7 linked regions of the Rattus norvegicus genome follow. The protein of the gene in region 6 interacts with the protein of the main gene of each other region in a pairwise test. Links are inferred from orthologs where the notes say so. Each region holds a gene or a part of one and is shown on either strand. Other genes may lie near its edges. The genes, in order: Abi2, Homez, Zmiz2, Rai1, Zfp446, Pin1 and Ankrd40.

Evidence for each region.
Region 1: the proteins of Pin1 (region 6) and Abi2 interact in binary tests that used the Homo sapiens proteins (3 or more experiments, as listed by UniProt). The link is inferred for Rattus norvegicus from reciprocal best matches to the Homo sapiens genes PIN1 and ABI2.
Region 2: the proteins of Pin1 (region 6) and Homez interact in binary tests that used the Homo sapiens proteins (3 or more experiments, as listed by UniProt). The two-hybrid records come from large-scale screens. The link is inferred for Rattus norvegicus from reciprocal best matches to the Homo sapiens genes PIN1 and HOMEZ.
Region 3: the proteins of Pin1 (region 6) and Zmiz2 interact in binary tests that used the Homo sapiens proteins (3 or more experiments, as listed by UniProt). The two-hybrid records come from large-scale screens. The link is inferred for Rattus norvegicus from reciprocal best matches to the Homo sapiens genes PIN1 and ZMIZ2.
Region 4: the proteins of Pin1 (region 6) and Rai1 interact in binary tests that used the Homo sapiens proteins (3 or more experiments, as listed by UniProt). The two-hybrid records come from large-scale screens. The link is inferred for Rattus norvegicus from reciprocal best matches to the Homo sapiens genes PIN1 and RAI1.
Region 5: the proteins of Pin1 (region 6) and Zfp446 interact in binary tests that used the Homo sapiens proteins (3 or more experiments, as listed by UniProt). The two-hybrid records come from large-scale screens. The link is inferred for Rattus norvegicus from reciprocal best matches to the Homo sapiens genes PIN1 and ZNF446.
Region 7: the proteins of Pin1 (region 6) and Ankrd40 interact in binary tests that used the Homo sapiens proteins (3 or more experiments, as listed by UniProt). The two-hybrid records come from large-scale screens. The link is inferred for Rattus norvegicus from reciprocal best matches to the Homo sapiens genes PIN1 and ANKRD40.

What each region holds. Positions count from the first base shown.
Region 1 is NC_086027.1:69,319,561-69,324,010, forward strand, and holds the start of Abi2 (abl interactor 2), read left to right. Parts: upstream 1-1,644; 5' UTR 1,645-1,820; coding exon 1,821-1,937; intron 1,938-4,450. UniProt on the Homo sapiens protein: Regulator of actin cytoskeleton dynamics underlying cell motility and adhesion. Functions as a component of the WAVE complex, which activates actin nucleating machinery Arp2/3 to drive lamellipodia formation.
Region 2 is NC_086033.1:32,306,498-32,310,700, forward strand, and holds the start of Homez (homeobox and leucine zipper protein Homez), read right to left. Parts: upstream 2,978-4,203; 5' UTR 2,953-2,977; coding exon 2,928-2,952; intron 1-2,927. UniProt on the Homo sapiens protein: May function as a transcriptional regulator.
Region 3 is NC_086032.1:85,463,893-85,468,243, reverse strand, and holds the start of Zmiz2 (zinc finger MIZ domain-containing protein 2), read right to left. Parts: upstream 2,872-4,351; 5' UTR 2,471-2,871; intron 2,438-2,470; exon of another isoform or gene 2,330-2,437; intron 2,304-2,329; exon of another isoform or gene 1-2,303. UniProt on the Homo sapiens protein: Increases ligand-dependent transcriptional activity of AR and other nuclear hormone receptors.
Region 4 is NC_086028.1:45,446,186-45,450,375, reverse strand, and holds the start of Rai1 (retinoic acid-induced protein 1), read right to left. Parts: upstream 2,950-4,190; 5' UTR 2,660-2,949; intron 1-2,659. UniProt on the Homo sapiens protein: Transcriptional regulator of the circadian clock components: CLOCK, BMAL1, BMAL2, PER1/3, CRY1/2, NR1D1/2 and RORA/C. Positively regulates the transcriptional activity of CLOCK a core component of the circadian clock.
Region 5 is NC_086019.1:82,676,761-82,680,981, forward strand, and holds the end of Zfp446 (zinc finger protein 446), read left to right. Parts: intron 1-1,224; coding exon 1,225-1,306; intron 1,307-1,512; coding exon 1,513-2,069; 3' UTR 2,070-3,654; downstream 3,655-4,221. UniProt on the Homo sapiens protein: May be involved in transcriptional regulation.
Region 6 is NC_086026.1:27,464,443-27,468,660, reverse strand, and holds the start of Pin1 (peptidyl-prolyl cis-trans isomerase NIMA-interacting 1), read right to left. Parts: upstream 3,020-4,218; 5' UTR 3,014-3,019; coding exon 2,956-3,013; intron 1-2,955. UniProt on the Homo sapiens protein: Peptidyl-prolyl cis/trans isomerase (PPIase) that binds to and isomerizes specific phosphorylated Ser/Thr-Pro (pSer/Thr-Pro) motifs.
Region 7 is NC_086028.1:79,777,559-79,781,896, reverse strand, and holds the start of Ankrd40 (ankyrin repeat domain-containing protein 40), read right to left. Parts: upstream 2,932-4,338; 5' UTR 2,729-2,931; coding exon 2,595-2,728; intron 2,405-2,594; exon of another isoform or gene 1,820-2,404; intron 1-1,819.

The sequences.
Region 1 (4,450 bases), on a different chromosome or scaffold from region 6:
GGGCTGGAGAGATGGCTCAGCGGTTAAGAGCACTGACTGCTCTTCCAGAGGTCTTGAGTTCAAATCCCAGCAACCACATGGTGGCTCACAACCATCTGTACTGCAATCCCACACCCTCTTCTGGTGTGTCTGAGGATACCAACAGTGTACTTATATACATTACATAAATAAATCTTTAAAAAATTCTTTAAAAGTTTTTTTTTTATTTATGTGTGTGTTTCTATGTGAGAATATGCCACATGAGTCCACCAGTGGATGCCAGAGCAGGGTGTTGGATCTCCTGGAGCTAGGGTTAAGGGCTATTGTGAACAGTATGACAGGGATGTTAGGAACCAAACTCTGGTCCTCTGGAAGAGCAGTTCATGCTCTTAACTACTGAGCCATTTCTCCAGCCCAACACAGGTTTTTGATCTACTGAAGTTTGTCTAAGAGTCTGATCTGAAGTTTGGAGTTTGTTTTCTTCAGCTGTTTGTACTTTCATTTCCTGAACTAAGTGTATGTGCCCTATACATAACTATCTCCCTATATACTCTTTAGGTTTCTCTTCTTTCCCCTCCAGCTCTCCCTTTTGTTTTTCACAAGCTTCTCACACTTAGAACATTCACGCTAAGACAGGTGTCTAAAGTGGTCAACAATAGATCCAGCTGGACCATATCATCATTTAAAAATACTGTTTTAGGCTCTGCTACAAAAGCTCACACACACTGGTAATGTATTTATCATAAAGCTAATGTAACAACACAGGGTTTACTCCACAATTGTGGGGCAATCATATTTATGAAAAAAGATTAGATATACAGATTACAAGATCAGAATGAACTACCTTGAATTTTTGTAGTACTTAATCTGAAAAACGCACATTTGTCAATGTGTGTTTTTTAATTTTATTCATGCGACAACCATGTGAATAAAGAAATTAGTACCAGCAAAGCTACCATCGAAATTTTGAAAAAAGTCAAGTGAGAAGGAGGCCCAGGCTGGGCAACTACAACTTGTAGCTGTAATTCTAGCCAGCTCAGTCTACACTGGAGATCATGCCAAGAAGTGGGGACAGGGGGAGGAAGGGAATGAATGAATGAATGAATTGGTTTGGGATTAGGTAACAGTAATTTGTAAAGAAGACGATGAGGTCCAAGGTGGCATTTAGAGCTGCTTGGAAGTTCAGTGGCTCTGCCTGTTCTGATGAGGTGTTATATTTCACAGAGCTTGTGAAGGGGCTGTGTCCTCTCCCTAGGCCTCCACAGGGGCCTGGAAAGCTTCCTTAGGCAGATGACCTCCACAGGGTTCCCGCCCCGGGTGCAGCGCAGAGGTGAAGATGGGGGGCGGCGGCGGGAAGCAGCAGTGGGCAGCGGGAAGCAGCAGGGAGCGGCGGCCCATTCCCGCCCGGCTAACAAAGGCTACTGAGGACTCCCAGAGCCTGGAAGGCCGCGCGGGGCCGAAGGGTTAACCGGGAGCCCCGCTCCCGCGCGCATCCCGGCCCCCGCCCTCCCGTCGCTAGGAGACGCCGGAAGTGGGGGAGGGGCGGCGCGGGTGGGAATCTTTTTCGGGCGCTCGGGGGCGGAGGGAGGGGAGCGCGCGTGCGCGCGCCCGTCCGTTCGCCCGTCGCCGCGGTGACCGTCCTCGCGGCCTGTCGGCTCGCGCCCCGCCTCCGTTCCCGCCGCCCCCTCCCCTGTCGCGCGCCGTGGGGGGTGCAGCTCGCTCCTCCCGATTCCCGCCGCGTTCGCCGCTGCTCCTCCTCTCCCGGGCGTCGCGGCCGCTGCCTCTGCGGGCTGTATGAGGAGGAGTAGGAGGAGGAGGAGGAGGAAGAGGAGGATGTGAAGATGGCGGAGCTGCAGATGCTGCTGGAAGAGGAAATCCCGGGGGGCCGCCGGGCTCTCTTCGACAGCTACACGAATCTGGAGCGGGTGGCCGACTACTGCGAGAACAACTACATCCAGGTGCGACGCGGCCCCTCGCGCGGCGCGGCGCGATAGGACGTGGGGTGTGAGGGGCGCGCGGGGTGACGGCGGGCTGAGGAGGCCGCGCGGTACTAGGTCCCGGGAGCGGCGCCGGGGTGGAGACGGGGCGAGGGCGGCGGCGGCTGGAGGAAACGGGGTCCGCAGAAGGCCCCAGCAGCCCCGTGCGAGTCCCCAGTGCGGTGCGGTGCCGTGCGGTGCGGTGCGTGGCGTCCCGCCCCCTCGCCTCTGCCCCGTCGCCCCCGCTGTCCTCTCCTGTCAGTGTTCCGGATGGCGGGGGAGGTGGAGAGTGGCATTTTCTGTATAACGGAATCTTGCTGGATGGCAGGCTTGTGTGGATCACACAAATTCCGAGGGATCTTTTTTGAAGGGGTCCTATTCCTGCAAACTGAAATGCCTCACTTCTCCATTCCTGCGAATGTACCCTGAAGACAAAACAAAAATTCTTAACCCTTAAGTTTAAACTTAGGTTGTAAAGGGGACATGGTGGAAAGGCTGTCTCTTATTGCAAGTTAATACCATTTTTTTTTTCTTCCCTGTGGGAAACTGATAATGAGCTGCTTTTCCTTCCCAGTTCCCGTTAGAATAGGTGATTTTCCTTTGGGAAAAAGAACTATGACTATTTCCATAAAGAATCAGGGAAACGAACCACATGGTTTAGGTTTTTTTCCCCATGATGGTTGGTTTGGCACAGGGACTCCTCTGTGTGTGTGTGTGTGTGTGTGTGTGTGTGTGTGTGTGTGTGTGTGTGTAGGAAGGTGAGGAGGGGGGCGGGGCATTGGTGAGATGAGAACCAGCTGGTCATGGGATAAATGTAAAAATTTTGTGGATTAAAACAACACTTTAAAAATTAACTCATGGTTTGCAAATCTAGTATCTCGTTTTCTGTAGGGCTTATACTGAATTACAGGTTGTGCCTACATTTTTTTTCCCCACTCCCATTTAAATTCTTTGGATAAAGTGGAATGTAAGCATGGTGTTAAACGATTACCCATATTTTAATGTTCTTGTTCCTACCTCCGTCTCTGCAGGTCTTCTTAACAACAGTTGTATTGGAAAACATTCTCAAATCTTACTATGAATAAAAAAAAAAAAGAACCAGATGCTGGAATTTATAGGTTCTTAAGATTTTTGAGGACCATGTTGTTAAAGAAAATGTGCTTAGATTTTATTTGGTTATAAATGTACTGAGTTCTATTATGTTGTAAGCATTTGGAGGTTTTTTTTGCATTTTTATTAGATATTTTATGTATTTATATTTCAAATGTGGCCCCCTTTCCAGTGTTGTAAACATTTGTATTGAGAGTGAATCAGACATAATTGAATCTTCTCCCCTTAAAGAAGTGGTGGAAAGTGTGTGTTCAGTAGAAAGGGTGTGTGTCTTTGGTCAAAGATAGACCACAGTCCCTCACAAATGTCTGTCAGATCATTTACTAATACAGAGCTATGTAGGAAGTATTCAAAAGTTTTATCGCTTGATTTCCAGTCTTCTTTGGCCCAGAACTGTCGGTGGTGGTACACCCCTAAACTCTTAAGGGGTTTATGATATAGTTCAAGAGACAGATCTGTGAGTGAATCCATAGTAATACGATGATGTGCTATCAGCCCTTCTTGTTGGAGAAAGAAATAGTCTTTCTTTTTCTTGTCATTCCCAAAGTGTAACAACTACTTAACATGGCATTTACATTTTATTAGATAGTGTAAGTAATGTATAGATTTGAACTATGGGGAGGATGTGTAATAGATTGAATGTAAATATTATGCCATTATATGTAAAGGACTTCACCATCCAAAGATGGGGTTGGAGTGGGGATTGGGGTGGAGCAGAAGTGTGTCCTAGAACTAATCCCTATTGTATACTGAGGAACAAGAATAGTTAATTTATACTTGGTAGGGAATTGTGCGCAGAAAGGTGATGCTTATTATTTTCAGGGAGTCACAGCTGCTAGGAGAGGCAAAACCTAAACGACCCAAAGGGCTTATTCTGATGCCTTGCATAGCATATTATGAGAAAGTCTTGTCTGTCAGAAGAGAAATTGGGGAATGGAAAAGTGATTAGATTGCAATTGTGGCCAACTAATAAGAAAAAGGTTTTTGAAAGATGAATGTTACCATAATTTGAGATTATAATGCCACATAAAGGGAAAGTACATGAATGGATAAAGTGGAGAGGTGGAAGAGATCACTTTTGTCTTAGCATTTATAATTCTAGCCTAAAGAGTAACAAAGCTCGTGTGTTATTTATACGTTTTCAATTTTGGTGTTGGGGGCTGTTTTGTGCATGCTGAGAATACAGGCTACCACTGAATTATGTTCCTAACCCACTGTAAAATTACAAATACTTATTTTTTAGAAATGGATTTTGAATTTTAAGCCATCTGTTATTTTAAATTCAGTATGTGAGGTAGAGTTTACATATTATTATTTCTTAGGTCGTCCTCCGTTGTGGGAGTCACTGGATTTATTACTGCAGTACTTTCTCAGGATGATATTTC
Region 2 (4,203 bases), on a different chromosome or scaffold from region 6:
TGGCAGAGGCAGAGTGATCACATTCAAGGCCAAGTCCAGGGGCAGCGAGCGTGGGGGTGGAGGAGACTACGATAAGGAAAAAGCTCAGAATGGAATTATTATCTTCATCTTGGGCTTCTGGTCTTCGCTCAGTAATAGAGGTGGGAGCCCCAGCACTGAAAACAGAACCCGGACAAAAACTAATTACATGAAAAGAAAAAAAAATAGGGGTTGGGGATTTAGCTCAGTGGTAGAGCGCTTGGCTGGAGAGATGGCTCAGCGGTTAAGAGCACTGTCTGCTCTTCCAGAGGTCCTGAGTTCAATTCCCAGCAACCACATGGTGGCTCACAACCATCAGTAATCATGTCTGGTGCCCTGATTCTGGCCTGTAGTTGCATACATGCAGGCAGAACGCTGTATGATGTATACATAATAAATAAATGTTTAAAAAAAAAAGGTGGGGCTGGAGAGATGGCTCAGCGGTTAAGAGCACTGACTGCTCTTCCAGAGGTCCTGAGTTCAAATCCCAGTAACCACATGGTGGCTCACAACCACCTGTAATGAGATTGGATGCCCTTTTCTGGTATGTCTGAAGACAGCTACAGTGTACTTATATATAATAAATAAATAAATCTTTAAAAAAAAAAAAAGGTACAAGATGCTTCCTTTCCGCCATTTTGTTCTGCCATCCCTAGTCTAATACCTTACACCAAATATGAAAGAAATGGTCCATTTTTCCGAGTTTGGAAAAAATGCTGTCTGTCTTTTAAGACACATTCTCAATAGTAGCCAAGGTTCATTCACCTGCTAGGCTAACCTTGCCTCCAGGCAATTCTTCTCCATTGGCCTCCTGAGGGCTAGAATTACCAGTGTGAGCTATTATGCTTGGTCTGAAATTTTTTTTTTTTTTTCCAGAGCTGGGGACTGAACCCAGGGCCTTGCGATTGCTAGGCAAGTGCTCTACCACTGAGCTAAATCCCCAACCCCCTGAAATTTTTTTATAACATAATCACTGTAACAGGCCCCAGACCTTGCCACAACTGACTCCATGATGGAAATACCATTTAGGCTGTAAGACTCAGCACGGAGATAGCCTCCTGCTAAACAAAAACAAAGGCCCAATCCATCGAAGCTGATGAGAGTTCTGGGAAAGTCTCAAGATATACTAACCTTGCTTGTTAGCTTGTTAGTTCCACTTCTGTTGTTAACTGAAGACATGGTTTTTGTGCTTAAAAGCTCACTCTGAGAAAGGATCAGAGCTCTATTGGGACCCTGAGTACCCAGTATTGTCACCAGCTGACTCATAGACTTCCTATTGGCTAAAACCCGTGTCCGGGCAGTCTTCTCTGGTGGATACTCCACAAGTCACAATGTGTAATTCTTTTAAAATTACCATAACCTGAAAATTAACAGTATGCTAGAAAACTGAAATCCTTTCTTGTTTGTTTTTCCATACAGGGTTTTTCTGTTACCTTAGCTGTGCTGGAACTCACTGAAGAGCAGGCTGGCCTCTAACTGAAAGATCCAACTACCTCTGCCTCCCCCGTGCTGGATTAGAGACGTGTGCCACCATGGTTCAGAACCTTATTCTTTGCAGTAAGTATTAGTTACCTGTTCTATGAAAAGGCTGTCAGTGCAGCAGGGTGGGTACAGCGCGATGGGTGCAGGCGCCTGCTGCCTGGCCTGCTGACCTAGGTTTCATTCTAGGGGAACCACACCCTGGAAGAGGGACGCCATCCCAAAAAGTTGCCCTCTGTCTCTATGTGTGGGTCTTGAACACACACAAATAAGCCAGGTATGGTGGTGCATACCCTTAATCCCATCGCTCAGGAGGCAGAGGTAAGTGGATCTCTGTGAGTTTGAAGACAGCCTGGTCTACATAGTGAGTTCCAGGACAGCTGGGGCTATATAGTAAGACCTCCCATCAAACAAACAACAAAAACAAAAAAGTTCAATCTGATTTTTTTTGGTATCCAAACACATGGAAAAAAAATTGTTTGCCAGGTAGGTAATTTTTCATCAGCTTTTTTTTTTTTTTGGTAGCGTGCATGTATGTGGGGGTTCACGAGTGTTTTAGATTGATGCCAAATCTTCCTTGATAGCTCTCCACCTCAGCTCTCTCTTTTTTTTTTTTTTTTGGTTCTTTTTTTTCCGGAGTTGGGGACCGAACCCAAGGCCTTGCGCTTCCTAGGCAAGCGCTCTACCACTGACCCCCTTTCATCAGCTTTTTAAAAACTGTAACTGATTTGCATTTCCCCAGTCCTTAAACGTTCACTTTATGCCCAATCTTGTATTTAAAATTTGTATTTTCGGGCTGCAGAGATGGCTCAGTGGTTAGGAGCACTGACTGCTCTACCAAAGTTCTTGAGTTCAAATCCCAGCAACCACATGGTGGCTCACAACCATCTGTAATGAGATCTGACGCCCTCTTCTGGTGTGTCTGAAGACAGCTACAGTGTACTTACAGATAATAAGTAAATAAGTAAACAAATAAATAAATCTTAAAAAATAAAATTTGTATTTTCTTCTTAAAAGTTGTATACTTTAGGATACAGAAGTTTTACTCGACTGTGTAACCAAATGACCATGTTCGGTTTCGTCCAGTGTTTGGTGTCTCCTCTCCTAAGAAATGCCAGAGGTCAGGGGAGCTCTAAGGCTGAATGGTCACCAGTGCAGGTGTTGGGAATCTGGGATGGATTTGAAACAGGAAAAGCTACATTAAAGCTCTCTGTGAAAGAAAGAGTTCAGGGGTTGGGGATTTAGCTCAGTGGTAGAGCGCTTGCCTAGGAAGCGCAAGGCCCTGGGTTCGATCCCCAGCTCCGAAAAAAAAGAACCAAAAAAAAAAAAAAAAAAAAAAGAAAGAGTTCAGATCAACCCACCATCAAACTAAGATGTCCAAGTTGGGAAAGAGGCTAGGGCCACGGAAGCCCTGCCCAGCCTCCACCTACCTCTCTCTGGGTGTCTAGTCCTCATGCTGACTCTTCCTTCACATATGTACTTCGCTTTCAAAACGTACTGAGTGGGTGCTGTGCAATGACATCACAGCTCGACTATTATGACGTAATGAGGAGGCCAGTGACTGTGCTCCAACCAGTGTCGGTGTTCTGAGTCTCATGATGGAAGAAAGCAGGCCACTCAAGGATGTGGTAAGGCCTTGCTGGCCCCAGGGAGAGCCAGCCACTGCAGACTGAATCTTGAACAACTGTACAAAGGCGTATTTACTGATTGTTACAGAGAAGTTAGTGTTTGGGTGAAACTGGTTCCTCATAACAAAGCCCCTGACCTGACCTATGTTTAGGGAAGGAGACATCACACCTCTGTGACTTCATGTTTATTGTACGCTGTCTCCAGTACCCAATAAAGCACAGCACTCCAGGTGTGCCTGGAGCTGTGACCAAAGTCATGGAAATGCCATGAAGCTCCTTCAGTAATACAACTCTATCAATCACAGGAAACAACCGCCATTTTCCACAATAATTCCTTCCAGGTCTACGTCCTTCTAGAAAAGAACTATTCATTCTATTATTTATCAGAGATACAATGAAAACCATTCCATGCTAATGTTTACCCTAGACAATGGTTTTACTTAGAATTACACTACAAACTAGGGCTTCCCTATCAGGTCTGCTGTTCTCATTACCCTGTGGCTGATTCCATTAGTAGATGAAGCATCCCGACCTAAGAGGAAATTAGCTTCTCCCAAGCTGGTCCCTTTAACCACACAGCTCGTGCTGGGTGCCAGGCAGCTAGAGCTTGGCCCTCCAGACTTTCCCACTGTCCAAAATGGTAAAAGGATCTGATTGGAGTGTCTTGGGTCAGGGTTGCCAAACCCTCTGTACCTCTTTCTCACCCAACGTTTACATGATCCAAGACTCCATTAGGGTTGGGAGGACAGCTCAGCGGGTAAAGGTACTATGTTACATAGCGTCATAAAGACATCACCTTGACACTGGCTAAAGTCATCTGAGAGGACGTAACCTCAATTAAGAAAATGCCTCCATGTCAGGTGTACACCTTTGATCCTGGCACTTGGGAGGCAGAGGCAGGTGGATCTCTAAGTTGGAAGCTAGCCTGGTCTACAGAGTGAGTTCCAGGATAGCCAGGATTACACAGAGAAACCCCTTCTCAAAAAACAAAACAAATAGAAAGAAGGAAATAAATAGAGTGAAGGAAAGAAAGAGGGAGGAAAAGAGGAAAGAAAATGCTTCCAAAAGTACAAGCCTA
Region 3 (4,351 bases), on a different chromosome or scaffold from region 6:
CAAAGCGTTCCAGTCAGCTGGTGAGACAGGCTGCTGGCCCCACCCAGGGTCATCAGGACAGGCCGGGTCCTAAGCCTTGCATGTTTAACACACCTGACCACAGTTTGAGAGCCTCTGATCTAGGAAATGCAGAGTTAGGGAGAAGAGAACAGGGCAGGTGTGGGGGGGGGGGGAGGCACCCACAGGGGCCTTCTACATCACATGGGCCTGGGGAATTCCACCCACAATGCTTCTCTGCTGTGGACAGAGACCACAGACATTTCCAGTTCCCCCTCAGCATGCCTCTCTTTGCTGGGAGGACTTCCTGCTAAACTGAACTCCTAAGTTCACACCTCAACATGTAGGTCTGCTGGGAAGGCCCCAAGCCCCCAGATCTGATATCCGGTGGGCCTCCTGCTCCTGATTACGGGGAGGCATTCTACGGAGTACAGACCTACCTCCCACTTCCAAGGCAGAGCTGGGGAGGAGGCCTGGTTCTCAGTGTGCCAACTGCAGCTAGAAACCAGGTTCCCTAACAGATCTGCTCTGACCTCAAGTCCATCCTGGAGTACGAGGCTGCTTTCTGGGGGTCAAGTCATGTCTTCCCTCAGGCACAGAGCTCCAGAAAACTTGCTTTCCAGGTGTCCCAGAGCAAATTCACCCCAAATCTCCTGGCTCCATCCATTTCTACCTGTCTGAGCAGCTAAGAACAGACCCAGTAATGGGTACCACTCTCAGCCAACACTCCTACGCTAGGCCAGCCCTGCTCAACAGCTCACAAAACAGGGTTCATTCCGCCAAAGTTCCAGGGTTAGGCTTCAACTTAAGAAAGTGGGATCAGTTGGGCAGTGGTGGCATACACCTTTAATCTCTGTACTCCAGAGGTAGAAGCAGGTGGATCTCTGTGAGTTCAAGACAGCCTGGTCTACAAGGTGAGTTCCAGGATAGCCAGGGCTACACAGAGAAACCTTGTCTCCAAAAAAGAAAAAAAAAAGAAACAAACAAACAAACAAACTGGGACTAAAAGGCTCCAGAGAAATGACAGTTCCAGGAACGGGTGAGGTAGCCTAAACCTGTATGTAGTCTTAGCTTCGCAGGAGCTAGGGGGCAGGAAGATCATTTAAACCTACAAGTTCAAGGCAACACAGTAAAATCACATGATGGTAGGGGGAGGATGAGTATTTGACAGGTTTGAAGTATGGCAGACAGAAACAGAGTCCCTAGTATCAAAGGAAGGGTAGTCAGGTGCCCAGAAGGCTAGAGGTCCTGCCTGCCTGTGAGGCAACAGTACTACCCCCTTCCTAGCCTCAGTGTACAGACAAACAACTGTTCATGAAGGACTCCAGGAATGAGCATCTGCCAATAGCCCAACCAAACCTGACTTCAATCTCCAACGTTTGAAATGGGAATCTGGAGGCCACTCTAGGCTATGTGGCACTTTTAAGTCCTCAGCATCAGCCCTCAGAGATCAACCCTAGTAATCAGGATGCTCCCTAAACATGCTGGGCCTGTCTCTTACCTGCTTATTCCCATTATACCTCAGCCTGCTTCCACACCCTGGGAGCACATCAAGGGCCTTGAGGTCAGTTCTGGTGAGTAAGGTTAAGCTTCCCTCCCTAGTTACCATTCTCAAGTGCCAAGGGATGCCCTTGGTACTGGCTTTGCCAGGACTTGGTGGTGTTCATCCTACTCACATAGATCAGGTCACATGTGCTATTTGCATCCCTATCAAATTTTCTGCACAAATGAGTTAAAGACATCACCCAAAGACTGTCTCTAACTACTAAGAGAAGGAACACTAGAAGGATGAGGGCAGGATAGGGGAAGCAAGGAGGAAAGGTGACGGAGTAAGAAAGGCACTGGGTGCTGGGAAAATGATACCTTGAAGGAACGGGATACTTTGGGGGGCGGGAAGGGGGGGGGACTGGGCACCTAGGAGTGGTGTTAAGGGTACCAAGGAAAACAAAAAATTTAGGGAGAGTGGGGCACTTTCGTGCCTGAGCTTCAGTTTGGAAAACGGTGTTCCTGTCAAAAACCCGGCCAGGGACTGACAGGTCAGCGTCCTCAGCCTAGGGGCAGAGCGGCTCCTTCTAGGGCCAGTAACGGCTCCCACCCCACAACCCCCGCCCTCGAATCACCCAGATGGTGAGCACATAAGTGGGAACCCGAGGGGTGCTCCGGAAGGTGAGCATGCCCCGCTCCAGAGCTGGAACGACAGGCTTGGGTGAGGGCCCATCAGCCTCCTCGGCTCAGGAGGCCCCCGAAGGCCACTTGCACCCCTGGGCCAACCCCAACAAAGGCTCAGCGGCGGGGTGAGAAAGCCGGATAGCACGGCACAGGGGACAGGTACCCGAAGGTGGGCGGTAGAGCCAGGCCAAGCCAAAACCGTCCGGGGCTCCGGGACCGGCCGCACCTGCCACCGCACCTGCCGCACCTGCGCGCCCCGCCGCCCGCGCTCGCCTGCGGTGCCCCGCGCCTCCTAGCCGCTCACCTCCGCCCGGCCCGGCCCGGCCCGTCGCCGCGGCCCCCGGCCCGCGCCGCTCCATGCGCTCAGCCCGCCCTCGGCGCCGCCCGCCGCCCCCGGGCCGCCGCCGCCCGCGCCATCGCGCCGCCGCCGCTCGGAGGGCACAATGGAGCCGCCGCCGCGCTGCTCATGCATATGCATGACGCCGCGCCGCCGGCCCCGCCCCCCAGGCCAGAGCAGCGGAGCCCCGAGCGGTGCTCCGGAGGCTCGGGCAGGGGCGAGTGCGGGCCTGCATGGCCAGGATGGGCCGGGGCTGGGCCCGGGCGGCGACTGGCTGCCGTGCAGGAAGTTCAGTGCGCCCGGCCTGCACCCTGCGTCCCCTCCGCACCTTTGCGACCGCGGCGTCGGAGGAGCCCCGCGCGCTTCCTGCTGCTGTCCACCGGGGAGGGGCCGAACGGGGGCGGGGCTATGGCGGGGCGGAGCCACGACAGGGCAGGCAGGGCTTGGGCCTGGGCCTGGGCCTGACCACACAGCCTGGTAGACTAGGCGGTTCGTGACTGAACACTGACTAGAACCCTCTGGAACCTTCGAGTCTTTCATGGCGGACGGCGCGTCTTTGGAGACAGGGACTAAGAAGCCCATCATTGAAAGTGGAAACAGCATACACCTGCCCACGTAGCCTTCTACACAGTCAAATAGTCCCTTCCTGGAGTGCTGCCTCCTTCACCTCTGTGTTGAAATCACTGTGATCTATGGGCTGGAGAGATGGCTCCGTGGTTAAAAGCCTTGACAGGAGTCAGACATGGTGTGATGGTGCACACTTTTAGTTCTAGCACTCGGAGGCAGAGGTGGCAGTTCTCTGAGTTTGAGGCCAGCCTGATCTACAAAGCAAGTCCAGGACAGAGACCCTGTCTTGAAAAGTCAAAAAAGGAAAGAAAAGGGGAGGGGGGGGAGGGTTGACCGGTTTTGCAGAGACCCAGGTTTCACTTCCCGGAGCCAACAGGTGGAATTTCCCAGAATTCAGACTTCCCTTCAGACTTCCATGGGCACCAGGCAGATAGTGTGCAAAGATGTAACAAGCTAGCAAAGTAATTATGTACATAAATAATTAAAAAACTATTTTCTAGCCAAACGAAATGGATCTATAGATACTTTTGGCATCCTGTAAACCTGGCAGGCTCATCCAGCCCTTTGACATTGCAACATGAGGATTGTCACCTATGAAGTTCGTACTAGAGAACCAGGCAATAGACTTAAAAATACCTCATGTGGGGGTTGGGGATTTAGCTCAGTGGTAGAGCGCTTGCCTAGCAAGCACAAGGCCCTGGGTTCGGTCCCCAGCTCCGAAAAAAAGAAAAGAAAAAAAAAATCTCATGTGTTAAGTAAATTCATGATTTTTTTTTTTGGTTGGACAAAATCTGTAGGAATCATCTTCCACTTGTATGCATGCAGACCCCCAGGTGACAGATTAGACACCACCTGCAAGGCACCCACTTTTTCTACCTTAAGTTTCAAAAGAGCGCATTCTCCTGATTACCCACAATTATTATTGCTATTGTTCTTGCAAACTACACTGTACATTTTGATCATGCTCAAGTGTCCAGGTAGATACTCTCAAACACATGCTTTGTCATGCCACTACTCTCCATCTGCAGGATGATTTTATTTTCTCCAACAGACACTCTATCAATAAATCAACCTTACTAATGCTGGGAGCATCAATACTGTTCCTCATGTCACGGGGACCCCAAACATACAATTATTTTGTCGCTACTTCATAACTGTAATTTTACTACTGTTAGGAATCATAAATATCTGAGATGCGGGGTATCCATTATCCATCCAACATGTAACTGCCAAAGGGGTGGAGACCCATGGATCGAGAGCCAGGGCATTGCATAATAACCT
Region 4 (4,190 bases), on a different chromosome or scaffold from region 6:
GGTGCTTACAAAGAGCTGGTTACAAAACAGGAAAAGGCTGGTGTTATCAGCACCCCCTCAAAACAAACAAACAAACAAACAAACAAACAAAAGCAGAACATACATACATCTAAATACAGACAACTCATGAAAGCCTTTAAATCACCAACCATCAAAGCCAACCTGTGGGAAGAACCATACCAAATGCAAGCATTGTCAGAGACCATTAAGACACTCAATAATCTGTTTGTTTTCTCTGTTTTTCTGGGTGTTTTGTAAACTGTGTTATTATATATATGTCAAGAATACCTTTAAAAAATGACCTGCTGCTTCTAACCCCTTCACTCACTGACTCACTCATTAATCATTAATCCTATGTTTGTCTAGCCAAATACCAGACAATATTGTCTGCTGTGCCTGGCTCTGAGGTTCTATGAGAATAGCTTCAGCCTACAGGAAGTGGAGGTGATGTTCAGAGCAGGGTCAGTAGTCCCCTCTGTGCTGTATCCCCAGCCCTCCTTCACCACACAAAACTCTCCAAGGTGCTTATGCTCTGGGGTTGAACAGTAGGCAGCAGCAAGCTTGGCAAAATGAAGCTCTATGTCCCAGAGTCCTCATCTCCAAGCTGTTTCAACTCCCAAGTGTCGCAGTCTATCCTGGGGGTCAGAAAGTCACTCTAAAAGACCCAGGTCTTCGGCTGTAGGGGTGAAGGTGTGGGTGTGGGTAAGACAGAGAGTCAGGAAGGAAGGTCTGGTTGCTCTTCTTCCTAAACCCAGCCCCATGATGGATGACATCCCTCCTAGTTTCCGTGCCCCGGGCCCAACCTTTCCCTTGAGCCACAAGGCCACAGCTCGGTTGCTTGACCCACAAGCTCTGACTCTTGTTTCCTACAAGCACCCCCTAAATGAGGAGCCAGCATGCATCCTGTCGAGCTAGTGGCAGAGAGGCTGCTGCCTTGAACAGGGAAAGGCGGTCTGGATCTGCAGCTCCTAACAGGCAGTAGCATGCTGTTAGCATGGAGGGGCTAACAATGCTTCTCTGTGGTTTAGGGACTGACAGATTTCAGGGAGAAGGTTAACTCTTCGGGTTCCTGGACACAGCCCCAGAACACTCTAAAAACAATCCATTTCCCTAACCCCAAAAGGTACTTCCTTGTTCCCCTAAGAACCGTGTTTCTACGGAGAGAGGTGTCTTCCCTGGCTTCAACAGACAGCCTATTTACTATGGTATCTGGACTCCCCCACCCCCAGCAGCTCAACTAGTCATCTATCAAAGCTGGGGTTCACAACGCCCACCCAGCCCCACACCTCTCCACAAACCCAAAGATCTGACAGCTTTCAGTGCCAAGGCTCTGACCCAGACGATCCCCCCCCCCCCTTGGAGCTAAGCCCTCCCCCTTTCTGGACTGCAGTCCCCAGGAATTCTCTGGGACAGACCTCCGTTCCCATGGCGCCAGTGTAGAAAAAGAACTATTCCTACCACCCTCCCCCCTTAGCAGCCCTTCACCCCCATTTCATCCCAGGAAAAGTACAGGCATCGGATCTCTGGGTCACCAGAGCAGTGGTGTCTGCTGTGGATTTCAGGAAGCCAAGCACTTCGTCATACAAGCACATCACCTCCGGGATCACCTCTTAGCCTGCATTGTACAGGAGGGGAGGAGGCTGAGGTTAGAGTGGTTCTCCTACGTGCCCAAAGGCACCAGCCAATCGTCAAGCCCGGTTGGGCAGAATCCACAGCCCAGCCAGTGCACCCCAACTCTCCCTGCTGGGCACCCCTATTCGCCTTCCCTCCACACCATCCAGTGGTAACCTCTCCAACCCAAACAAGGAAGAAAGAGGGAGTCCCTTCCCCTGCCTAGGGCTCAGGGTCAGCAGTCACAGGAGAGGCTGAGTCATGACCCCTGCCCCTCACCGCAAAGGCATGAGATTTTATTGTCAGCTTGGCCACTCAGCTGATTTAGCTGGCGCAGGACAGAGGGAACGCAACAGGGAATGGGGAGGGGTATCTAAGGGAAGTGTTTGAAGCCGATCAGTCCACCAGATCCGGAAGCTGCCGGGAAATGGGGGTGGGGGTAGGGGGCTTAAACGCTCCAAGGCTGAGAGGAGGGGCAGCAGTAGCACCCAGAGGCGCCAGGGAACTGTCCCCCGGGAGACGGCACTCTCGGGAAGTTTCTCACTGGTTGCTCACAGTAGGACCGGTGCTCGAAACGCCCTCCCAGGCCGGACCAGCTTCCCGATACAGATTGCGAACTTGAGGTGAACTCCTTCCTTCTCCAGCATCCCCATCTGCGGCCACCCGCCGCGACATCTCAGCCCCAATTCTTCCACCAGTAGCTCGGTCGCCGTGACCGCTCACCAAGGCATTGTGGAGCAAAAGGGAGGGGAGAATCCCCAGCACAACCTAACTGCTGCGGCCATTAAAAAAAGAAAGAAAGAAAAAAAGAAAGAAAAGAAATTCCTTCTCTTGAGACTGATCCCCTCCACCCACATGGAAAACCTCCAAACACGCAAACCCGCAACTCCAACAAGGATCGCGGCGCGGTGGGAGGGGGTGCCCCCGGCGACCCCCGTCAGCAGCCCCACTTCGCGGCAGGTCAGAGCGAGGTGGCAGGCCGGGATTCAGGGAGCCCTCTTGCCCGGAGCAGCCCGCCGAAGACACAAAGCTTCGCCGCCAACAATACCTGCGGGCTCCTCCTGGGTCTTGGGGCGCCGGCGTGGCGCGTCTCGCAGTCTCCCTTTTCTCTTGCCGTCTCTCTGCAACGGTGCGCTCTTCCCCTCGCTTCTTCCAGTACCCGACCGCCAGATGAGATCCTTGGGAGAAAAATATGTGAGCGCTCACACGATTCCTTTCTCTGCGCGCCGCGAGCGCTGGCGCTGGGCTCGTTCCTCTCTTTTCGCGCTCCCGTGCGCGCCGCGCCTCTCCAGCCCCTCGCTTCCTGCTCAGCAGCGCCTGCGAGTGCCCTCAGTAGCCATTATTCACTGGCCGCCGGGGGGACAGGAGGTAATTAGAGACGGCCTTGTGGCCACGTCCACTGGGCTAGCACGATGCGGGCGCAGGGCGCGCGCGGGGAGGGGCACGCGACAAGGGGGCTTGGCTGCGCGCAGCCCGCGCCCCAGACGCGGAGGAGGGGAGAAGAGGGAGGGGGCAGGGAGGAGGAGTGGTAAGCTGGGCGCGAGCGGGAGGAGGGGGCGCCAAGGAGACGCTCTCGCGGCTCTCACCGCTGTGGCCAGGTCACTGCTGCGAGGTTCCTAGGCGCCTAAAGACCGAGTGGGGGCGGGGAGGGAAGGGGGTGCTGTGCGTGCGCGCGCGCGTGCCAAAGCTAGAAGGGAGGGAATGCTTTAATATTTTTTCTAGTGACTTACGAGCCCACGGGTGAGCCCTTGGCTGTGCGTTCAGGACCGTGTATCAGTGTGGCTATAAATTCCTGTTCTGCCCTACGTGTGAATGTCACGGGCTGGTGATGGGGGGCGGGGGATTAACTAGAAACCAGCCTCTGAACATGCTGGTAGGTCTCGGCGGGACTGAGTGATGCAGTGGTTGCGTGGGGGTGGTGTTTGTGTGCGATTGTTTATAGGTGGTAGTGTGACTGCGTGGGCGGGGCTGCCTGCGTGGGCTGTGTTCCGAGGGCGTTGTGTATTCGTATGGGCTTGTTTGTGACTGGGCTGGCTGCTGTGTGGGGCCAAGGGACTGAGAAAGTATGGACATTGCGCCTGTGCGTACACTGGCCACACGCAGGGATCTGAGGCTGCCTGTGATAGTGTAGGGTCTGAAACCTGGTAGGCAGAAGCTGGCCCTTGAAGGATCCCACCGAGCAGAAAAGCTGTTTAAGGTGCGAACAAGCAGTGCTGGGGTTGGGGCACAGAATGACGTGTGGGAGTTTGTGTGTGTGTAGGTGTAGACAAGTAGGAAGGGACCTTCATGACGTGCCTCCTTTCATTGCACCAGAGATGCACCTCAGAGATCCTAGCACTTACAGACCCAGGAGTTCAGGGTTTTGAGGGGGCAACACTGGTTGATCCCAGGATATATCTTCGAGGCGGGCAGCAAGGGAGGTAGTGCCTGAAGATTCCCAGAGAATAAGATGAAACAAAGAAGACTGGGACTTTGAGGCTGGACCTGCGGGAGTGGGGGCTGCCACCACACTAAAGACAGACCCCTGGGAACACAGAAATGCTACATAGACGCAAACTGAGAGTTTTGCCAGCCAGCCC
Region 5 (4,221 bases), on a different chromosome or scaffold from region 6:
ATCAAAGACCTATATGGCAGATTTCAGGGCAAGGGATTCTTTCCTTGGTATGGCCATCACAGCACGCATGCATGCCCTCGTGCACACACACACACACACACTGTCTTGCCACCAAATTGCCCCTCTTCAGACCTTGCTTGAACCGGCTGCCACCTGGCACAAAGCACCTAAGCTTTCTCTCTCCATCGCCTTTACCTACTCACCTCATCACATCAATTCCTCCTCCCCCTCTACCCCTTTGTGTGTGTGTGTGTGTGTGTGTGTGTGTGTGTGTGTGTGTGTGTGTGTGTGTGTGTTGGGAGGCAGTTTGAGACAAGGTTTCTCTGTGTAACAAGCCCTGGCTGTCCTGAACTAGCTTTGTAGACCAGGAACTTCCGAGTACTGGGACTAAAGGTGTGCTCCACCATGCCCAGCTTCATTACTCTTTTTAATCTTCCTCCCCACCACATCCTGTTTTTGTTCTGTTTTGTTTTGTTTAATCTCTCTACAAAGCCCCAAATGTCCTGGATCTGAGTATGTAGACCAGGCTGACCTCTGCTTCTGAGCACTGGGATCAAAGTGTGCACCCATCATGCCTGGCTCCTTAATCCTCTTTCTAAAAAATAAAATGAAATAAAGGTTTTGCAAATGTAGCTCACTTGGTAGAGTGCCCACCTAGCATGCATGAGGTCCTAGATTTTATCTCCAGCACTGCATAAACTGGTAATCCCAGAACTCAGGAGGTAGAGTCTGGAAAATCAGAACTTTCAAGTTATGCTCAGCTACACAGTGCATTTGAGGCTAACGTGGGCTACACAGACCCACTCTTTCTCACAGGCACTTCAATAAAGGCCAAAGAAAAAGCTCTCACCCCAAGGAAGAATTTTCAGTTTTGTTAGTCAGTGTTGACAGAAGGTAGCTGAAGCTCAGGTAGTATCTGGCCTCTTACTGACCTCCCAGCATATCCTGTTCATAGTGTAGTGACTAGAAGGATGGGACAGCCACTGTGTCTTTCTCCAAGACCTATCCACAACTTCAGTCCTTCAGACTATCTCTGAGATAGACCACTGAGAAGACAGCGATGGTAGGTTGAACAGATGAAAGCTGACACAGTACTCACAAATGCCAGTTCTAGCTTAGTCCTTAGCCTGCTGCAGATGGAGATTCAGTAACCTGCCACCCACGGGGTAGTGGGTAGGAAGTGAGGCTACCTGGGAGAGGCAATGACTGGTTGCATCCTTGCAGGAGTGGGGCCTGATGGACTCATCACAAAAAGAGCTGTGCTGGGGTGTGATGCCGGAGAAATACAACACAGTGGTATCCCAGGGTGAGGATCAATGGCCCTCCCTGTCCTACCTTCCCTGCCCCATCCTCCACACACCTCCCACATGTACTCGGCCCCCAACTGGGGCTCCCAGTGCAGTGGCCTAGCATCCAGCTGCATCTCTCTTCTACCAGAAAGTGCCCACTCCCATACTTTTGTGCAAACCCTTATGTGTCCAAGCCCCCAAATGAATGTTCTTTCCTCCCTAGCAAGCCTGCCGCTGCTACAGCCAGAGACACATGTTGACTCTGAGCTGAGACCAAAACAGGAGACCCCACATGAAGGATCAGAGTCCCTCGGGAGCCATCCCCCAGAAGTGGGAGCCATTGCAGATCCAAGGCTAGTTCAAGCCACTCCAAGTGAAAGACAGAGCCCTTGCAAGGACCCTCCAGGCTTGTCTCCTACACCACTGCTTGAAGCCCCAGCTAGGCCCACACCTCGGAAGCTGTATGTTTGTGAGCAGTGTGGCCTCAGCTTTGATTGGAAGTCAGTTTTCATCATTCATCTCCGCACACACACGAGAGGGCCAGGCCTGGAAAGACCATCACAGGTAGCCTGGGAGCCGGCCATGCGGCGCTCCCCTGGCCTTCGGGCCTATACCTGTGTGGAGTGTGGGCGCAGCTTCAGCTGGAAGTCACAGCTGGTCATCCACCGCAAGAGCCATGCAGGCCAGCGGCGCCACTTCTGCGGGGACTGTGGGTGTAGTTTTGACTGGAAGTTTCAGTTGGTCATTCATAGGAAGATCCACCAGCCAGAGGACCCATGAGTAGCTGGAGAGGCATGTCTCACCCTGGGTGCCTCCAGCCCCTGATGCACCACTTCTGGCATCCTCTTTAGCCAAGAGGAGGTTCTAAGGCACCCCAAGTAAGTCAGGGATTGCAAGAAGATTGCCCTGTCCAATGCCAGGTTATCCAGTGTATGGAGAGGAGGCTGTTCCCTTCCTTTGGTTCCTGCTTTGTGGAGCCAGGCCTGGGTTGGAGTTACTAACCTATGACTGGGGTCCAGCTTGTGCAAGAGGTGGACACTCCCTGCTTCAGGATGCTCCGAAATCACTTAGGTCCCTCCTAAGTGGCTGGGCAAGACATCTCTGTGCAAGATACTGGAAACCACATCTGCCTTTCAATCCTGCTGCATGCGACCCTCAGACTAACATGTTAGATTTCTAATGTAAGTTTTACTTCTATAACAAGAATTTCTAAGTAAACATCCTGACTTTTGGTTCCACTGACCAAAAGAGCAGCCGTGTGTGCTAGTTAGCAGGCCACAGGAACCACAGGGCAGCCGGGCCCTGAAGATCTAATTAGTCACTTCTCTCCTCCAGCTACCCAGTTTCTTGTCCACACACATTGCTCCCCACCTCCCTGGCCTTTGAATTCCTGAACTTGGATGGACTTGGATGAATAGTTGACTTTTCTTTGGGAGTGAGAAGGGACAAGAGTGGCTTCTGAGAAGTTAGACAACACGTAGGTGCCTCAGGCCATGCATGCCTCTGGGTGAAGGCTACACCCCACATAGCCAGTTCACTACTAAACCGGAGGACAAAGGGCCACTCCCTACTGCCCAGGGAACAGTGACCCTCTGGACAGTCACTCAGGATCTTTTCAGTGCACGGTGTCCTATTAACTATGCCTGTAAACTAGGTAGATCAAAACAGATTTACTTACTAATTGTTCCGACATCAAAGCGCTGAAGCAAGTCACACAAATCAAAAACAGACTCACCCTGGAAGCTACCTGAGACCCTTGGCTGATGACCTCTTTTTCCATCTTTAGCAGTCGGTAGTTGTTTACCTTGGTGAATCATTCATATTTGATTTCTGTTTGCAGGGCCTTTTGAGTGGCATGGGGCCCGATATTCCAGGGTAAGGTGATCACCTTAAGCTCAGACGATAAAGTGGGACCTTTCTTTTGTTTGAGACAGGGTCTCCTAATGCAGTAGCTGCTAACCTCTAACTGGTCCTCCTGTCTCAGCTTTCTATATGTTAAAACTATAGGCTTATACCACCAAGCCCAGGTTGATATTTTTAAATTCTATGTATGTTTAAGACAGTCTCACTTTAATGCCCTCAAACTATCTGTAGTCCTCCAACCTCAGCCCCTGAGTGTTGGAATTAAAGTTGTGTCATTGGGCCAGGCTAAGACTTTAAATTCTTTTAATTTTAAAATTTAGAAATACAGAGCAGGATTCAGTGTTGTAGGCAGATCTCTGTTAGTTTGAGGTCAGACTGCTTTATATAGTGTGTTCCAGGATAGCCTGGGGCTATGTAGTGAGATCCTGTCTTAAAAATAAATAAAGAAATAAGCAAATAAATTCTGAAGATGGGCACATCAAAGTGTCATCTAGAAACCTGAGTTTTCAACACTGTCCATTCTTGCTCACTAATCCAGTCTATTGTTTTAGGTGTGTGTGTATATATATGAGTGTGTGTGTATGTATGTATGTATGTATGTATGTATGTATGTATGTATGTATGTACATACATATGTATATGGAAGCCTGAAAAGAGTATCAGGGTCTGCAAGGCCCTGGGTTCAATCCCCAGCTCTGAAAAAAAGAAAAAAGAAAAAAAAAAGTATTAGGGTCTTCACCTCTGCTTGTTAATGTTCATCCTGGAATCCAAACACCAGTGACAGACTCAAACTCTGGTCCTGATGATTTCACATCAAGTGCTTTTAACTGCTGAGCCTGTCTCCAGCTCACAACGTTATTGAAGATTTGCTTCAGTCTGAGTCCCTCTGTGCTGCTCACATGTTCCTCTTCTTTCATGTCCCGTTCTTCCTGCTCACGAGTGCTGTAAGTTTTCATATGTTCCTTAGACTGTTTGCCCATTCATTATAGTTGTCCTAGACAACTGAGAGCAGTGTCAATCCCTACAGCAAGTTCCAGAATCTGCCCTTCACAGGTTTGTGTGTTGGTTT
Region 6 (4,218 bases):
CAGTCTCAAGATGTCCTCTGACCTCCACATGGCATAATGCCACCTTACAGAATAATAGGACCAGATTTTCAAAAGCATCCTCAGCTATAGTTTGAGATAGCCTTGGCTACACTGGACCCAATTCCAAACATAGATAAACAAACAGACAGCATGGGCTGAGGATCAGTGCTTGCATGGCATTGTGAGGTTCTAGGTTCAAGTCCCAGGATCACATATCACCAAAAGGTAGAGTATAACTGTTTTTACCCATTGCTTCGTTCCACAAAAACCCAGGCAGCACCTCCCCCTCCTCTGCTCACAGCAGCAGCAGTTGTGTCTTGTGCATAAACAGAGAAAGTTACTCCAAAGCTCCAGTCTTTTTTTTTTTTTTTTTTTTTTTTTGGTTCTTTTTTTTCGGAGCTGGGGACCGAACCCAGGGCCTTGTGCTTCCTAGGTAAGCGCTCTACCACTGAGCTAAATCCCCAGCCCTCAAAGCTCCAGTCTTAACCCCTGCACTGGTAGCCTAAGTCAGAGAGCAAGGGGTAGCATTACTCAGGGCCTGATGTCATCTGAGTGGCTGTGAGGGCATAAAGGAGACAGATGGAAAATCAAAACCTCAAGGGAAAACTCTGGCTTAGTGGAACATGCTGTTTGCCTAGCACTAGGGAGGCTGAGGCAAGAGGATGGATGTCTGCAGATTGAAGCCAGTAAAAGTAAGTTTGCAAGACGGACTCAAAAAAGTGAAAGGTAAAAGAGGAGGAAGGGGTATGGCAGAAGCCTGAAGGAAGGACCCAGTAGATTCTGGGTCACTCCAAGGGCTGAGTCTACCTGGGTTACACAGCTGATCTAGCATAGGAGAAGAGCTGGATGTTACCCATGAAGGAAGGGCTTTTCATAGTCCTACTGAGAACAAATGACAAGCATAACTAAGCAGAGGGGCAGGTATAGGGGTGTGTGTGTGTAAAAGAGTTTCACTATGGGGGCTGGATAGATGGCCCGGAGATTAACAGCACCATCTGCTCCTCTATTGGACTGGAGTTCAATTTCCAGTACCCATGTGGAGGCTCACAACTGTCTCTTCAGGCTTCTTGGTGGGCACTGCATGCATATGGAATACACATGCAAGCCTAATACCCATACATGTATTTTTTAAAAAAGTGTACGTAGCCCAGGACAACCATGAACCAGATCTCCTCCTGCTTCTGCCTAAGTGCTGGAAATACAGCTGTGTGCCACCACACCCAGTTAGAGACAAGTTTATGCTAGAGGTCACAACCCCACCCTAGGAATGGAGCAGCCCAAAGCCTCTGGGGATAAATCCAACTAAAACCTTTGTCAGGTCACCTTCCCTGAACCTCAGCTTTCTCATCTGTAGACTGGGACAAGAGAATAAGGACATCAGAGCATAAAGGCTTATAACTTTAGTCCCAGTGCGTGAGAGGCTGAAGCACAAGGATCATGAGTTGGAAGCAAGCTTGGGCTACACAGCAAGACTTTACCTCTGTGTGATGTAATCCCAGCAGAACACCAGAGGTTCAAGGTCATCCTTGGATAAGTATCGTCTGAGCGCTCATGCTCGCTCTTGCGCACTCTTTCTTTCTTTCTTTCTCTCTCTCTCTCTCTCTCTCTCTCTCTCTCTCTCTCTCTCTCTCTCTCTCACACACACACAAACACACACATCTTAGAAAGGAAAATGGCTCAATGGGTAAGTGCTTGCAGCCAAATCTGACGGAGTTCACAATCTACTCATGGTAGAAGGAAGAAAACTCTTGCAAGTTAAGATTGTCTGACCTTCACATGCACATACATTAAATACAGTATTACTAATATTATTAGTAAAGATTGTTTCAATAAATAAATTGGGCAAAGTGGTGCATGCCTGTAATCTCAGCACTTGGGGGAGCTGAAGCAGGGGGATCAGGAATTCAAGAGTAACCTGTCTTTATGAGGCTCTGTCTAATGCCTTTCCACATCCACTCTTGATAAAAAGGTGGAAAGTGAATGACATTAAACCTAGCTGGGTTCAGAGAGTTAACATATGCAGTGTCCAGAACCTTGATGCTTAATAACTAAGAATTTTGAGTGAGCTCTGTAGGTTGCATTGACCCTGGCTACCTGAAATGCTTGTAGGCTACTCTAGGCGTTGCCACTGACACTGGGAAGGGGACATTTGAGATCAAAAAAAAAAAAAAATCATTGCAATCTAGGGCATTCCCAGTGACTGAACTGCATTATCAGATGAGTTCTTTCCATGTCTGGCCTCAGTTTCTCCCTCTTGAAATATGAGAGCAATTCCTTTCTTGAAAGATGGTAGCAACCGGGGTGTGGGGGGGAGGAGAGCATGAACCAAGAAAAGAGAGGGAGCGAGGGAGGAGGGAGAGGGAGATGGAGGAACAGAGGTGGAGGTGGGGATAGGAGGAAGAGGAAGAGTGGAGAGGTGGGTGGGAGAGAGAGGGAGGGGTGGAAGGAGAGAGTGAGAGAAGGCAGGAGGGAGAGGGGGAGGGGAAGCGGGAGCACACACCGGCGTAGACTTGTAAAAGAACTGAAGTCTTTCAAAGAGTTTGGCACCATGCTTGACCCAGAGACGAACTGTCCTGGTTAGGAGCCATCACTGTCCCTGGGTCCCGATAGGGGGATGAGCGGGCACGTGTCTCGGATGCTGCCCGAGAAACCAGAGCAGGGCGGCCCACGCCCTCTGCACCGAATCCCGATCTTCCTCTCAAGGGAACTCCGAGGTGCAGACTCGTCGCCTCAGAGCACCGGGGCCCAGTGGTGGGCGAGAACCGGGGCGCGCCTGTGCCTGCCCCACCTCCTACCTCAGTATCTGGCTTTCCGGGCCCGTTATGCCGCGGAGGAGGCCAGATCTCCATGCCCGAAGCAGGACGGTGATGCGACTCGCCTGTGCAGGCGAGCTCAAGCCCAACTTCCGCAACCTCCAGGCCTCGCCCCGGGCCCTGGGCGACCCCTAAGAGGTACCTGAGCTGCGACTCATACGCTTCTCCCACCCGGACGGCAGCTTCTCCTCGTCCGCCATCTTCCCTCCTGCCGCAGCGCCTGCTCCGCCTCCGCGGCTCTGACCCCGCGCCAGACCAGCGCCGCTGTTGATTGGCTCATCCAATCGAGACGCCAATTGGACGGCAGCACAACGCCTCGAGCTCTCGAGCCTTTTATTGGGCTCTCCCGCGGCCTCCTGGACCACCCCTACACACACCCTCCACCCACTACCCTCACCTTCCCAACACCGCTACTGATTGGCTCGTCTGGAAGCTACGTCTATTGGATGCTCCAACCCGGCAAGCGGCTCCCTTTAAGCGTCAAAAGGGCGCTCCACCCTTTTTGGTGCGCTTAGCCGATAAAATAGTGCTTATTTGACTGGCTCCTGCGGCAGCCAATCCGGCCTTCTCAAGCCTTTCTCGGAGGTCCGCCAGAATCCACGCGGAAGTGGCCAGCTGGAACTAAGGTACATGGGTGCTTTTGCTGTACTTTGCCGTTGCCATAGCAATGCAGTTGCCTTGGTGACAAAAGGCTAACTATTCAGAGCCTAAATTTGGCTTTTGAGTTCTTCTTCCCACCTTTTCCTCCAGATGTCCAAAGCGAAACCAGTCCTTTTCGGTTTTTGCAAGGCGAACCATTTCACTGGTTTATTCACCCACTTTCCATGTCTTTTTTAGAACCTACTTCGACTTATTCCTTCTCCATGGGCTCCTCCTGACTTCTAGGCAGGTGACTGATGGGTGAGAGCATTACCACTAGACCGAGGAAAGGGGGTAGGAGAGGGTGGGCGGCTCCAACGACCGGTTTTAGTCAACTGGTAGTCTGAGGAAAACGGTGTGTTAATGTATACCTTCAATCCTAGTACTCAGGAGGCAAAGGCAGGCAGTTCTGAGTTCGAGACCAGCCTGCTCTACAAAGTGAATTTCAGCACAGCTAAGGCTACACAGGAAACTTGTCTCAACAAACGAATGAACGAATCAAAAAAAAAAAAAAAAAAAAAAGACAGCTAGAGAGATGGCTCAGTGGTTAAAGCACTAGCTGCCCTTCCATTAGACCTTTCAATTCACCAGACCTGCATGTGGTACACATTCATACATACATGCAGGCAATTCATATATATAAGAATTTTAAAATGTTACTTTATGCCTAGTGCTGGTGGCAAACGCCTTTAATCCTACACTTAGGAGGCAGAGGCAATCAGATCTCTGAGCTTGAGGCCAGCCTGGTGTACAAAGTGAGTTCCAG
Region 7 (4,338 bases), on a different chromosome or scaffold from region 6:
TATCCCCCTGAGGAGCTGGGTACAATGGGGTTTGCCTGTAGCCTCAGCTACTCAGTAGACTAGGGTAGGAAGAAGGTAACTTTGAGGACAAGGGTTAAGACCAGCCCAGGCAACACAGCAAGGCCAAGTCTAAGAAGAAAAAGGGGGTGGGGTCAGGCAAAGAAAAATCTACTATTGTCAATATTCACTCATTTTACAGTCAATGTAGCTGGGGTAATTAGCAAGCAAATTATATAGTGTGCTAGGTGGATATTAAGTTGTGTGACAATAAAGCAGAGTAAGAGATTAGGGACTGGCAGGGTTGGGAAGAGAGTTGCACAATTTTTAACTGACAGCCAAGGAAAAGCCTTAGCATAAAGCTAATATCTAAGCTAAGATCCAAATGGGGACAGAGAGCAAACCATGGGGTGTATAGGAGAAAAGCTTTCTAGACAAGAGGGAAGGCAAAGTACAAAAGTCTAGAACCCAGGGTGTGCTGTTGTTCCAGAAAAGCAAGGAGACCAGGGGAATGGGAAGAAGTGAACAAGGAAGCAGGTCTCAAGAGATGAGGCCCAAAGGTCAGGGAAAAGAATGCAAATTGGCTTCTTCTCAGAGTAATATGGGAGCCATTAGAGGACTTTGAGTGTGATAAGCCAACTGTTCCACAGTCGGGGCAAGGCTGTATGTAGTATAAGCAAGTAGACTAGTAAGGATGTTAGAGGGAGACTATGGAACTATCCTGCATCCCAAATGGTGCTGGCTTTGTATCACAGTGTGGTGCTTGTGAGTGGTAGCCAGATCCTATCTGAACACAGAGGCAGCAGAACTGGCTGACAGTATGTGGTTTGTGAAGGGAAGACAGGGACCAAGGACAGTGCCAAGCTTTACGGTCCGGTCATATAAGAGGGCGAGCTGAGAAGAACTGAAAGCATTAGGCCAAGAGCATAAAGTGGGATAAAGGGAATCTAGGAATTCACTCTTGGACTGGATTGATTGCAGTTGGAATTAAATCTATAGGAAGCCTCATCGGGTTACTTCAAAATCACCTGGCATCCACTGGGTATCTAGCACTTGGTGGGCACTGTGCCGAGGGCATCAGATGTTGGATTCACTTTTCAGCTCTAACAGACAAGTCAGGGCTAACATTCGCACGGAATTACTAAATCCCAAATTTAGTAACTTAGGAGCACTTGGAAAACTGGATGGTTTAATTTTCCTTGGGTCTCAGTTTCTTTATCTTTAAGATGGAGAAAGATAACAATGTCCCCAGATAGTCCTGAGGTAAGCCAAGTGTTTATAACCACATTTGTGCCATAGAGCAAGTTCAGTACATGGCAGCTACTTACTATCCCTCATCTCAATAAACACTAACAACACTTCTGAAATAACTGGGAAACGAAATGACTCAACCAAGACTTCACAGCAGGGCGGACAGGCAGACCCTGCAGCAGGACCAGGCTCAGTATTCTGTACAGCACTGCCCCCCAGTGCCAGAATAGAAATTCACAGCTATCGGATGCCAGGGAAGGCAAACACTACTACAAGTGTTTTTTGCCTGCAAACGCTTCAAAATAGACAAGAAATTAGTGTCCACTGTCTCCTAGCTGTGGACAGCTACCGAGCTAGTTTCTTTAGGGAAAGGACCCGGGTAGCTTTCTTAGGAAATAAGGAAACCTCATTTCTGACTCTGTTACCATACCGAAAATTGTGCAACCAGGGCAAGACACTCTCTGGGGTTCAAATGATCTCCTGCGCCCTTTCCATTTCAAAATGTATGACTCGATTTACAGGGGAGTGGGGTGGGAGGGTTAAAACTCACTTTAACTTTAAACTAGTAAACGAGGCTAGATAAGCATTACCTGGATTAAATAAAAAAAATGTAAAATGTCAAAAAGGGTTTTAAAAAACACGCACTCAGTAACTTGGAACCAAAGACATGAGACAGACCCCGGATTTAATTGGGAAGGAGGCAAATCTGCAGGCAGACATCTAAAGCCTTGGGTGAATTTCTCTATTGGAAATTGTACTAAGAAAACAAAACATTCTACAGGGCAAACAAATGAGTCTCCCCTCAACAGGCAGCTGTAGGCAACAGCCAATCACTGTGGTATTGAAACAACAGAGGCAAAATTATTATGCAAGTGGTGGGGGTTTTGTAGTTGTTTCTTTCCTCCTGGTCTTGGCTAAAGAAATCGTGCTGGTTTTAAGATTGGCATTTGCTGGGTTGCTTATGCTTTCATCTCTGCACGAAGTGTTCTTCAGAAGCGCCCATGGCAAAATAATTCAAGCTTGATGAAATCCAGAGCAGAGTCGCTGAGAATCAAAGCCTCTAGCATCACCATTTGGGCCAAGTTAGCCAGGGGGCGCGGGGGCTGGCGTGGGCTCCAGTGTCCCAGAGGGCGCTGGCCGCAGTGAACCACAGAAGGTATGTATTTGGGAAGGATGCGCTCCTAACTGCACGAGGCAATTGGGGGTAGGGCTAGTCTGGAAAGGGCACAACCTGCGAGGCCTGAGGTACCAGGCTTCACCTTAGCCTGCGTCCTGGGTCACGGCTGACTGCTCCACGCCCCGAGCTAGCAGCCCTGTACCCTAGGCCTCCCCCGCTCGCCACTTACCAGCCGTTGACCTCATTTTGGGAGTTCACATCCACCCCGCTCTCCACCAGTTTCTGCACCTCCCGAATGTCCCCCAAGGCCGCTGCCTCCCGCAGCCTCTCCTGCTGCTCCTTCTGCTCTAGGAGGGCGCTCATCTTCCCCAGGGCCCCGGGCCCCCGGCCGCCCCGCCCTGAGCCTGTCAGCGCCGCCGCCGCCTCCGCGGCCCGCTCCCGGCCATGGGGAGGGAGCGCCGGGCTCGCCCGCCCCACTCGCGCCTCCGCCCGCGCCCGGCCCGGGGCCTCGTGCTCCCTCCCGCCCACCGGCAGATCCCCAGCTGCTCGAGGCCCGCAGGCCCAGGCCTCCACCCCCGCCGCGCCTCCGAAGGCCGGCTCCGGGGGACCCTATTCAGTGTGACAACATTGACCCAGATACTTTTCGTTCCCACCCGCGGCCCCGCCGCCCCGGCCCGCTGTTTATGTAACCACTGCACTGGATTATCTGCTGTGATTCATTGGCTATTTTTAGACCTCCCACCCCACAGCTTCCAGCGAGGAGGACAGACACAGGAATAGTTGGGGGGGCGGAGGGACCCGACATGTTTGAGAGCCAGAAAAGCCGTATCCTCTGGAGCAGGCTGTTTAGTAGGCATTAAAAATAATTGGTGGGTTTCCACCCCCACTCCCCCAAGTTTGGTTAGCTCTTTTTCTATCTGAGTCAATTTTTACCCAGTAGGACGGGAAATGGGCTGAAAACGATCCCACTATAAAATATGCCCATTATTTGCAGAGATTAGATGACACTGTTCTTATTTTTGTCAGTGCTTGGGACCATTCAGCTAGAATTACTTCAGTTATTGTTTTATTTTTACCCCTTATCGTTTTTAGACAGAAATTCTTCCAACTTGGCTTTCATGAAAATTAACGTTGCTTCTGGTTTATAAAATGAAACTCATTATAGCTTTTAAATTATAATTATTCTCGGAGTCATGTAAGGAAAGACGACCGGGAGTGGGGGTGGGGTGCTTAGTCATCCGGGTCCTGATCCTGGGCACTGAGGGTAGAGCTATGGGGTGTTCATAAACAGCGGTGTGCAGTACTCCTTGCCTAATCTAGTTAATGATGTTCAGAGCCTTTGATGGCACTGTTCTACTACCCATTGGGAGAAACAGAAAATATTATTTTGCTGAGCCCAGGTGCCTTGGAGAGATCCCTGATGTGGCACTGGTGAGAACTTTGCAGATGGGGTGAGAAGATTAAGGGAAAACGCCCTGGGGAGGCAGAGAGGAGGGCCTGAACAAAGAGGAGATAAAACACCAAGGGATACATTTAGGTATGGAGTCTTTATTTGCATTTTTCGGGGCTGCCGAGGGCACACAGCATGCATTTGTCTTGTTACTGTTTAAGAAAAAGCAACGTCTGTTTATTAGCACACGGTAATTCACACAGCGCACACTGCACACCAGGAGTGATGAATAGCAACTGACTATAAACACTTAAATCTACCCCAGTGGCAAATTGGACCGCTGCTTGAGCTTATACTTTCGTTTGTTTCCCCAATTTAAATTTTAATTCTCAGATCCAGCATAGTACTCCATCTGAGGCTGATGTGAATGGCATTGAGACTCTATTAACACAATCTGAGGGACAATAAATAGCAATCTTTAAAGGGGGGGGCGGACAATTTACAAAGATCATAGTAGGCTGCTGTTAATAGCTTAATAGAAGAGTATTTACCCAAACAAAGTCCTGGGTTTCATCCTCCAAAC